3 linked regions of the Xenopus tropicalis genome follow. The protein of the gene in region 1 interacts with the protein of each later gene in a pairwise test. Links are inferred from orthologs where the notes say so. Each region holds a gene or a part of one and is shown on either strand. Other genes may lie near its edges.

What was found.
Region 2: the proteins of rela (region 1) and keap1 interact in binary tests that used the Homo sapiens proteins (3 or more experiments, as listed by UniProt). The link is inferred for Xenopus tropicalis from reciprocal best matches to the Homo sapiens genes RELA and KEAP1.
Region 3: the proteins of rela (region 1) and nfkbie interact in binary tests that used the Homo sapiens proteins (3 or more experiments, as listed by UniProt). The link is inferred for Xenopus tropicalis from reciprocal best matches to the Homo sapiens genes RELA and NFKBIE.

The regions. Positions count from the first base shown.
Region 1 is NC_030680.2:38,474,996-38,478,650, reverse strand, and holds part of rela (transcription factor p65), read right to left. Parts: intron 2,030-3,655; coding exon 1,881-2,029; intron 1-1,880. UniProt on the Homo sapiens protein: NF-kappa-B is a pleiotropic transcription factor present in almost all cell types and is the endpoint of a series of signal transduction events that are initiated by a vast array of stimuli related to many biological processes such as inflammation, immunity, differentiation, cell growth, tumorigenesis and apoptosis.
Region 2 is NC_030679.2:138,054,696-138,058,936, reverse strand, and holds the start of keap1 (kelch-like ECH-associated protein 1), read left to right. Parts: upstream 1-1,387; 5' UTR 1,388-1,409; intron 1,410-4,241. UniProt on the Homo sapiens protein: Substrate-specific adapter of a BCR (BTB-CUL3-RBX1) E3 ubiquitin ligase complex that regulates the response to oxidative stress by targeting NFE2L2/NRF2 for ubiquitination.
Region 3 is NC_030681.2:2,161,641-2,165,295, reverse strand, and holds part of nfkbie (NF-kappa-B inhibitor epsilon), read right to left. Parts: intron 2,951-3,655; coding exon 2,848-2,950; intron 1-2,847. UniProt on the Homo sapiens protein: Sequesters NF-kappa-B transcription factor complexes in the cytoplasm, thereby inhibiting their activity. Sequestered complexes include NFKB1-RELA (p50-p65) and NFKB1-REL (p50-c-Rel) complexes.

The sequences.
Region 1 (3,655 bases):
AATAGAACCATACACTTGTAAAGTCTGTGAACCCCTGTTTTAGACACACACCAAAAGCGGTACTAACCTGGCGTAGGAACAATAATAATAACATTTTAGAGAATGCTGATGTTTTAAGAGACATTACTACTAAAGAGCATTTTTTTTTTTTTAATCTTAAAGGACGTCAACCCCCAAAAAATGTTTTTGCCTAATAAATTAGAAACATAATTCTAAGCAACTTTCCAATATCAATTCGTTAAAAATTATTACTACTTTAAAAGTTGTGTAAACGTAATTGCTATTGAAAGCAGCATTTGCCGAAATCCTGGTTGTTACTTTTTAACAAAATTGCATGTGCCAGGCTCCTCCAGCAAGGCAGGTCTGTCACGATTACGCCACTTCAGATGCACGTGACTGTAGGCGTGGCTGTCTAGAGGGTCCCTTGCTCAGTCTCACACACCTGACACACAGGTCAGACTAGCATCACAGCACCCCAAAGACCAACCAACGCTCACAAACTCATACACAACTTGCTGCCACCACTTTCATACTTCTTACACTGGCGATGAGAGATGCCAAGCACACTGGTAGAGAAAGGGTTAATGTAAAGAACCGACACACACACTCTCCTTACCAGCAGTCAAAGGGTTAATCAGCACACAGCATACAGAGGGCTAAGGCACACAACACAGTTACACACTCGGAGGTTAGGTACGTTTTAGAGCATCAAGGACAAACTTATTAAATTTTATATTTAATATTATAAAAAGTATAACAGTGCAAGTTTAAAACAAGATGTTACAACAAAGGACATACGATAAAACAAGTACAAACAGTTTTAAAATAAAAAGGGAAAAATATAGAAGTCCTATACTATACCAAGCAAAGTCCTTCTAGTCCTGGAGGCAAGGGGAAACCACAGGATAAACTTCCAATAGAAATTGGTCCTCCACATAATATCTTCAGAAGAGCTGACTATTTATCCCAGTTTGCAGGGGGATCAGGTAACTGGACACTCCCCCCTCCCTCAGGAATGCAAGGGGTGTCACCATTAGCAGGACACAGTGTGAGTTTTATGGCCTCCTGTGTATGGACTGAGTGTATGGGACTTGTCCAATGATACCAATGTCCATAACTCCTTGTGGGAACATGATGAAATTAGATTCATCAATTCTTAATGATCCCACCGGTCCCATACAGACTAAACATCACCACTGTGTGACCTGCCCCTGCCCAGATACTCCTATCTGACAAACCAAGTGCCCAAATCCAGTGATGTTTGGACCCGTATGAAAGGCCATCTTAAATGAAACATATACTCAGGTTTTGGTACCTCTAGTATAAATAGTATGGGTTCTGGGACAATAAATGTTTGTGAGTTTGGGTTATGGTGTGACCTCCACATCACCTATGATGGGTCCCAATGTGAACTCTAAGTCACCCCCACGTGGGCTTTCACTCCCCCACATGGCATGGCTCTTATCAGCCAGGGATTAGAGTTGGGCATTTCAGGATGCGAGGCCTTTACACATGGCTGGTTCCAGACCCTAGTGACCAGAGGCCTGTTATATATCTCTTTCTGGCACATTTCTGGAAGATTTTGGGATACCTTGGCCTGCTTGATTAACCCTTACAGGCCTATATCATGACAAGGTCTGTCAGTCTGCTGCCTTGTGTTACATTGCTTCAAGTGCCAGAGCCACCAGGGCAGAGACTAGAGAGGACAGGTAGACACTGCTTTTAATAGCAATTATATATACAAATAACTAAAAAAAATAATGAATGAATGAAGTAATGAATGTATATTGCTTAGAATTAAGTTTTGTTTAATTAAGCAAAAAGTTATTTTTGGGGCTGACAATTCCTTTGAACAGAAGTGTAACCAAACCAATCATTACCTGTGAATACTACGATCTGGGGAAAGTTCAGCTTCATAATATCCATCCTTACAGTCCTTTCCTACCAACTCATGAGGGTGAGGTTTGTGTGGAGAATCCTTAGTAACTAGGGATATTCGAATACGCGCTGAGCCCTGGTAATGGTTTATCTAAAATGACCATAAAGAATGGAAGGAATCAATCAGACAATAAAAAAATAAATAAAATAAATGTGCAAATGACAAAAACCATGAATGAACAAATCAAATACTATGATGATGGTAAAGTGATGATTAGAATGATCAATAAGGCTAAAAAATTTTTCACTTCCCTTAATAAACAGCTGGGTAAAGAGCTATGAAAGTACAGCCATCAGTTAAGTCAAACAGAGCCCATAAGTTGACCGCTATCTTGTAGGCCATTACCAACTATGCCAGTGTGTCTTACAGCAGAAAATGAAAAAACATACATTATCTGACAACAATGGCTATTCAGACACTGAAACAATTTGTTCATTTAATGAACAACAAATCCTGCAATAAAACGGTGTTCTTTTTAGTCATTTCGCTTTTTGTTTAGCAGCTCTTCAGTTTGGAGTTTCAGCAGCTATCTGGTTGCTAGGGTCCAAATTATATAGCAACCAGGGAGTGGTTTGAAGGAGAGACTGGTACATGAATAGGAAAGGACCTGAATAGAAAAAAAAGTTATAAAAAGTAACAGTAAAATTGTAGCCTCACAGGGTCAGTGACCCCCATTTAAAAGCTGCAAATTGTTCAAAAACTATAATTGGCCATTCTATAACATACTAAAAGTTTACTTATAGGTGAACCACTCCTTTAAAAGGGACAGGGGTCTTTTTTTCACTCAGGGGCAGATTTATCAAAGTCCGAATTTCGGCTAATTAAAAGTATGATTGGCAAAAATTCGGAATAAATACAATAATTTTGGATGTGTGTTAATTGTGAGAAAATTCCTATTGTGTTTGTACGCAAATATCGTGGCGCAATCCGAAAGTTCTGAAATTTTCGTATCCGAACGATCATAAACGCCGCAAAAAACTTTGACTTTCAACCTTCAATGCATGATTTTGGAAGCCTCCCATAGGATATAATTACACTTTCTGCTTCCTTCTGTTTTAACTAGATGTGCAGAATAAGAAGCAGTCCAACAGCATTATGCATCGCCACCTCACTTCACTGTAGGTCTGCATCAGCGATATTAAGTGTTTTGCATAAACACTTTCCTTTAAAGTAGGGTGGCACAAAAGAAGCCATTATGCAAACGAGCTATGCCAGGTCATGCCAGCTGAGTATCTCTCAGACTAATTAACTGAAACACAAGTGTCATCTGACCTGAATAACAGAGAACATGTGCCAGAAAAAATGTGACACCAAAAATTACACCTAAATTGTGTGTAAAGCCGGTATGCATTGGAACTCAAAACACATAACACTGTTAGTGCTCAAAAGGGGGGGGGGCTGAATGCTGTTTGCATACAAATATTTTGTAAAGTCACGTTAAAACATCTAAATCACAGATAATACACTTATTGCAGGATTTGTATTCATCTGTACAAATTGTTTAAATGTCTGAATAGCAATGTGTCTTTTCAAGTGAGTATTTATGAGCTTTGCACACTGTTTGCAAGTGAAGTCTAAAGGGGGCCATACACAGGCCGATTTCAGCTGCCGATTCTGGTCCAAACCGGTTCGGCAGCTTATCTGCACCCCGATGCCTACCCGATGGATATCTGGCCTCAAATTGGGCAGATCTCGATCAGGCAGGCTTGATTTTCT
Region 2 (4,241 bases), on another chromosome or scaffold:
GCCTATGGGGGGCTGTTTGGGCCTCTGCCAGTCTGGGCCTGATTTTCAGTACACAGAGGCCCAAACAGCCCCCCATAGGCCCAATAAATAGTGAGTGTCTATGGCACCTTACAGCAGCCCCTCTGGCATTTGCCTGAACCCACAGATTGCCAGTCTGGGCCTGATTTTCAGTACACAATCTGTGGGTTCAGGCAAATGCCAGAGGGGCTGCTGTAAGATGCCATAGACAGTCACTATTTATTGGGCCTATGGGGGGGCTGTTTGGGCCTCTGTGTACTGAAAATCAGGCCCAGACTGGCAATCTGTGGGTTCAGGCAAATGCCAGAGGGGCTGCTGTAAGGTGCCATAGACACTCACTATTTATTGGGCTGTTTGGGCCTCTGGGAACTTAAAATGCCAGGGTCTATTTTGAATCCCAGTCAGGGTCGGACTGGGCCACTGGGAAAAATACTGGTGGGCCGACGTGTAAAACGTATGCATGCTCAGAGGCGGGCATCGGGCTGGGGGACCCTGCCAGGTGAGGGGGGGTGCGGGGGACACGGCCGGGCGGGGGCAGCGGCCTCGGTGGGCCCTGCACCCCCCAGTCCAACCCTGATCCCAGTCCAGACCTGTAGCAGGGTCACATGATCACTTGAAAATTCAGGGACAGGGCTAGAAAATTGTATTTCAGTTTAATTTAAAGGCATCAGTGCTGCCCTGTAACATGTACTAATTAGACCTGTCCCCTGAACTCTCAAGCGATCTGTTTATCCGAGGTGATCTCTGGTTTGTGGCAGCTGTACCTTACAGGGCTGGAAATAAATGGTGCAGGTTCAGGCAGCTAATAATATGGCGACTCCTGACTAAAAAGACACGTCTTTCAGTAGCTTCGAGGGTGGGCGGAAACGCTCCTAAACGCTCCCCTGTGATCTAAAGGCCAACTATATATACCCGCCACTTCAGGCATTTTGTCACAGGAACGGCTTGGAATAATGTCTGCGCCATAGCCATGGGCAACGCACTACACTACTTACCACTAAAACATACATACACGTCTCTCCCCCGCCCTTTAGGTAACACTTTTACGCAATAAGCCAAGCACTTTGTTGTTTAATGCGCAACAGGTGACGCTATAGTTGGCCGGGAGCTGAACCAGAGCCGCAGGTCTCCCCGCTCCGCTGAGCTCTCTCTCCTCACTTTACTTTCACTTCCCTAAACAGTCACCTAAGCAGCGCCCCGCAGCCAATCACAGCCGCCCTTTCTCCTCCCTTCAATAACAATAAAAAAAAAACCCACTTGTAAGCTCCGCCCCTAGTGGTGCGGACGTCATGGCCCCGCCCAGAGGCAGTGTGAGTGACGCGGGCTGCTGCTTAGTCACGGTGACTGCTCCAGAGCATGGCGGGGGCAGCTGGCAATCAGACCGGAGTCCGGTGAGACAAGGGGAAATGGCGGTGCGGGGCCCCGGGAAGTACCGGAGGGATTGGGGAGGCGGGGAGCTGGAACAGGAGAGGGGGCGAGCTGGAGGGATAAAGAGACGGGCGGACGGGAGGGGGCAGGAAGCAAGGGCCGGGGGGGAGTAGGTACTGACTGGGATGATATCATTGGCGAGTAAGGTAGCGCCAACCTGCTGCTCTCAAGCTCTCCCTGAACTACAACTGCCAGCAGCACCTAGGGGTGACTTGTAGCTCAGCAACAAGAGCTGAAGGGCTGGAGCGTAAAGCGCGGTGTGTGTGTCCTACAGGGGGGAATGGGGGACCAGACATGGAGAGAAGCGTAACCAGTGCCTCACACTCACAGCTGTATGTACACTCACTCTCACAGCTGTATGTACACTCACTCTCACAGCTGTATGTACACTCACTCTCACAGCTGTATGTACACTCACACTCACACAGCTGTATGTACACTCACTCACACACACAGCTGTATGTACACTCACTCACACACACAGCTGTATGTACACTCACTCTCACAGCTGTATGTACACTCACACTCACACAGCTGTATGTACACTCACTCACACACACAGCTGTATGTACACTCACTCTCACAGCTGTATGTACACTCACACAGCTGTATGTACACTCACTCTCACAGCTGTATGTACACTCACTCTCACAGCTGTATGTACACTCACTCTCACAGCTGTATGTACACTCACACTCACAGCTGTATGTACACTCACACTCACAGCTGTATGTACACTCACAGCTGTATGTACACTCACACTCACAGCTGTATGTACACTCACACTCACAGCTGTATGTACACTCACACTCACAGCTGTATGTACACTCACTCTCACAGCTGTATGTACACTCACTCTCACAGCTGTATGTACGCTCACTCTCACAGCTGTATGTACACTCACTCTCACAGCTGTATGTACACTCACTCTCACAGCTGTATGTACGCTCACTCTCACAGCTGTATGTACACTCACTCTCACAGCTGTATGTACGCTCACTCACACACACAGCTGTATGTACACTCACTCACACACACAGCTGTATGTACACTCACTCTCACAGCTGTATGTACACTCACTCTCACAGCTGTATGTACACTCACTCACACACACAGCTGTATGTACACTCACACACACAGCTGTATGTACACTCACTCTCACAGCTGTATGTACACTCACTCTCACAGCTGTATGTACGCTCACTCACACACACAGCTGTATGTACACTCACACTCACAGCTGTATGTACACTCACTCTCACAGCTGTATGTACACTCACTCTCACAGCTGTATGTACGCTCACTCTCACAGCTGTATGTACGCTCACTCACACACACAGCTGTATGTACACTCACACTCACAGCTGTATGTACACTCACACTCACAGCTGTATGTACACTCACTCTCACAGCTGTATGTACGCTCACTCACACACACAGCTGTATGTACACTCACTCACACACACAGCTGTATGTACACTCACTCACACACACAGCTGTATGTACACTCACTCACACACACAGCTGTATGTACACTCACTCACACACACAGCTGTATGTACACTCACTCACAGCTCTGTACCATGATATGTACACTCACACTACCCCATGGCATGCATACACAGGGCATGCGGTGTCACCCCCCCCCCACACACACACAATTACACCACTACATCTTTATACAGTGTAGGCAGCAGCAGTGCAAGTCGGCCCCCGCACTACCCCATGGCATCAACACACAGGGCAGGCAGTGCCAATCTCTCCTCTACACTCACTGACACCATGGCATATTTATACAGTGTAGGCAGCAGCAGTTTTACTCTGCCCCCTTACACACACACACACCTGTACCATAGCATGTATACACAGCACAGGTGCCAGTCCTCACACACACACACAGTGCCTTTGTGACCCGCATACACACAAGCAGTACAGTACTAGTTGTGACAGTGTTGGATACAAAGCAGAATACTCCCTTTAGAATGATTGGCTGCTGGGAGCGACACTTTGGGGCATACAGCTGCTCAGCCTTGCTTTCTTCCCAACTGGGTGACTGGGTGCCAAACTGCGCTTTATGGAAGGTGCAGCGCCTCTTGCCTGTGTATTAATCAGAACAACTTTGCTTTTGCCCTTATTTGAAAATGACTTTTAATACGTAGGGGAAACCACTGCCAGCCCTGCACCCAGTACAGTGGCACCCAGTACAGTGGCACCCAGTACAGTGGCACAGGTCTTCCCATTATTCAAGCCTATCATCAGTGCGAGGGTGCTGCCATACTGGGCTGCTTTAGTTGAGAGATGAGACACTTGTCGCACTTGTGTGCTAGAGTTAGAAGAGAGCGGAGGCTATCTCAGTTGTTGTGCTCTGAGGCTGGGTGTGAGTGGAGCCTAATGGCTTCCTGGCAGGCCTGTCCTGATTGGGGCAAAGTGGCACAGAGACCAGATAATAATGAGGTAGTGTATTCTCATTTGTGCCTATAGAAGGTTCTACACTAGGTCCCTGCAGATATTGCCCTGGCTGGACTCGAACCCAGGACCTCAGTGCTACAAAGCAGCTGTTACTTTTTTTTTTTTTTTTATACAAACTGAAATAGTGCCTTGTTACTCTCTGCCACATTAGATGTTCACGTTTCATATATTTGTGTGTTTGGAAAGTAAATCAACTAACCTTTTTTGTCTTGCCTACCTCTTAGTTAAAGGACACGTCAAACCACCCCCCCCAAAAAAAAATACTTTTTACCTTATAAAACAAATATGAGCAACTTTCCAATATGATTTTATTAAAAAGAGTTTAG
Region 3 (3,655 bases), on another chromosome or scaffold:
GACATTATTACTCTAACAGTACCAGAAAGCGAACTAAATACTCAGGGCTGCCCATTATATTATCCTAGCAGTACGGTACCTATTACAGGAAATAAATCTCAGGGCTGCCATTTATACTCTAAAGTACAGTCCACAGGAATAAATAAATTACTCTTGCTGCACATATTACCGCTACAGTAACCAGTACGAGCCAGGATATACTTCTCTGGGCTGCACAATGATTTATCCTTACGTACCTATAGTACAACAGGAAATAAATACTCTGGCCTGGCCACATTATTAGCGGTAATAAAATCAGTACCAGTTACCAAGTCATAGGGAAAATTAAATACTCTGGGACTGCACATTGATTACTCTACAGTACCAGTAAACCCAACAGGGATAATACAACAGGGCAGCGACTTATTAACTCTATAGTACCCAGTTAACCAGCAGGGAAATAATTACTCTTGGGCTGCACATTATTACTCTACAGTGGCCGGTACCAGCGGGAAATAATACTCGCGCTGGAGGTTGCGCACATTAATTACTTCTTAGCATTGCCTAGTAAACCCAGCAGGAAAAATAATAACTTCCTGGGCTGCACATTTAATACTCCTACAGTACAAATGGAAATAAATATCGGGCCCGCACATTATACTCCCTTACAGTACCATACGGGAAATATATACTTTCCAGGTTCAGCTATTTAGGCTCGGTTGGGTAATTTAAGCGCTTGGGTGGCTGTGTTACTCGGGGCGGAGACCGCTTGCCACTGGTGGTGTGTCATCTGCTCTCTTGTAGTTTTAGCTCCACTGGCTTTCCGCATGCCCACATGGAGTTTAATAAGGGTTTTTCTTGTTAGCTGTTTGTTGCCCTCGTTCCTTGTTGTTGTGCCTGGTGGTCGGTGTCGTTCATACATTGTGACCCACACTGGCTTGTTTTTCGGGGCCTTTATTTCATGTGTGCGTTTGCTGTCTGTCTATCCGGTGTGATTTTTTTGCTCGGCGCGTTGATGCTGCGTTTTTCGTCTAGCGCACGGCGCCCCTTTGCGGGTCCGGCGGGACGCGCTCCTTTTACCATCAGGGAAATCAATCTCAGGGCTGCAGGCATTAATACTCTCCAGTAACCAGTACAAACAAGGGTAAATAAATACTTCTGGGCTGCACATTATTACTCTACAGTTACAGCACAGGGATAATAAAATTACTCAGGGCTTGTGGCACCATTCTATTATCCTTCAGTACCAGTACCAAACAGGGAAATAAATCTTCTTGGCTGCACATTATTACTCTGCAAGTGCAGTAACGCCTAAGCCCAGGGAATAAATACTCTGGGCTGCCACATTATTACTCTACAGTACATAGGGAAAATAAATACTCGGGGCTTGCCATATTCCATCTTAACAGTACCGTTAGGGGGAAATAAATATCGCAAGGGCCAAGCAATTATTACTTCTGACAGTAACCACACAGGAATAAATCTAGGTCAGCACATTATTACTCTCCAGTGCCAGATACCATCAGGGATAAATATACTTGCCTAGTGGTCTAGTGATAGAAATCGTATTTGTAGCGGTGTGCCTCTCTATGGTCGGGATAGATGTGGTATTGAATTGTTCACAGCACGGGGAAAAGAGATGGGCAGCTTTGCGAGGTCGGAAGATATGCGGGATGGAGAAATCCATAAAGTTAGTCGTGCGTTCCGGTCTTCGTTAAAGGCAGGTAGCAGTCGGTGACTCTGGGCTGCACATTATTACTCTACAGTACCGGTACCAGCAGGGAAATAAATACTCTGGGCTGCACATTATTACTCTACAGTACCGGTACCAGCAGGGAAATAAATACTCTGGGCTGCACATTATTACTCTACAGTACCGGTACCAGCAAGGAAATAAATACTCTGGGCTGCACATTATTACTCTACAGTACCGGTACCAGCAGGGAAATAAATACTCTGGGCTGCACATTATTACTCTACAGTACCAGTACCAGCAGGGAAATAAATACTCTGGGCTGCACATTATTACTCTACAGTACCGGTACCAGCAAGGAAATAAATACTCTGGGCTGCACATTATTACTCTACAGTACCGGTACCAGCAGGGAAATAAATACTCTGGGCTGCACATTATTACTCTACAGTACCGGTACCAGCAGGGAAATAAATACTCTGGGCTGCACATTATTACTCTACAGTACCGGTACCAGCAGGGAAATAAATACTCAGGGCAGCACATTATTACTCTACAGTACCGGTACCAGCAGGGAAATAAATACTCTGGGCTGCACATTATTACTCTCCAGTACCAGCAGGGAAATAAATACTCTGGGCTGCACATTATTACTCTACAGTACCGGTACCAGCAGGGAAATAAATACTCAGGGCAGCACATTATTACTCTGCAGTACCGGTACCAGCAGGGAAATAAATACTCAGGGCAGCACATTATTACTCTGCAGTACCGGTACCAGCAGGGAAATAAATACTCAGGGCAGCACATTATTACTCTACAGTATTGGTACCATCAGGGAAATAAATACACAGGGCAGCACATTATTACTCTGCAGTACCGGTACCAGCAGGGAAATAAATACTCAGGGCAGCACATTATTGCTCTACAGTACCGGTACCAGCAGGGAAATAAATACTCAGGGCTGCACATTATTACTCTACAGTACCGGTAGCAGCAGGGAAATAAATACTCAGGGCAGCACATTATTACTCTACAGTACCGGTAGCAGCAGGGAAATAAATACTCAGGGCAGCACATTATTACTCTACAGTACCGGTACCAGCAGGGAAATAAACACAGCTATAATATACATGCAGCGCTATGTGAGTGACCCCCCTGAGCCCATTCGGTACCTGATAGAGATCATTCTGGATACTGAGCACGTCGGCCGGTGCCAAGGATATGAAGCAGAGGGCGGTGTCGGTCCAGCCATGGATGACAGTGAGATGCAGGAACCTACAGGGTAACAGGAGCGCAGTGAGTAGTGCAGGCAGGGAGGGAAGTTTAGGGTGGGGGACTGGGGGATATGGAACAGTCCATGTCGGAAACCCCCTGGCAGCAATGGGTGTAATATGTCAACATATTTTGCCTTTCTAAAGCACTGATGTAAAACAGGTCACCAATCTCATTCCTCCCCCTTATTCCTGTAAGCAGGATAATGAGCTCTGTATAAACAAGCTCCCCCCTTCTCTAAGCTGCAGCCTTTGCTAGGCTTAGGGATGAGCAACTCACTATACACAGGGCTTATCTGCGGACTGGTCATTTGTTTTAACTGCTTCTCCTCTGCTTGGCAGAACCAGGAAGTCGTTTTATTTCTAACAGGAAGTACAAGAAATAAGAACCATAGTGATTTCCTGTTTCAGACATTAGGCAGAAAGCCAGGAATTGCCCATTTCTCCTCCACAGACACAGTACTCCCATGCCGCCTCCCTACCCATCATAAAGGTGATGCATGCTGGGAGTGGGACACTTCCTGGTCACATGACTGTAATCCCAAACTCATACATAGGATATACTTGGTGCTCCCTGCTGTGTGCGAGGCACGGAGGTATGCAGGGAGTTTGTGAGTGACACTGCAGGGATTCCCTGCACCCACTAAAGAGAAAAAGCCACTACAATTAGCAAGAGAGGAACGGGGGGACGTGAGCACAGGGGCCCCCA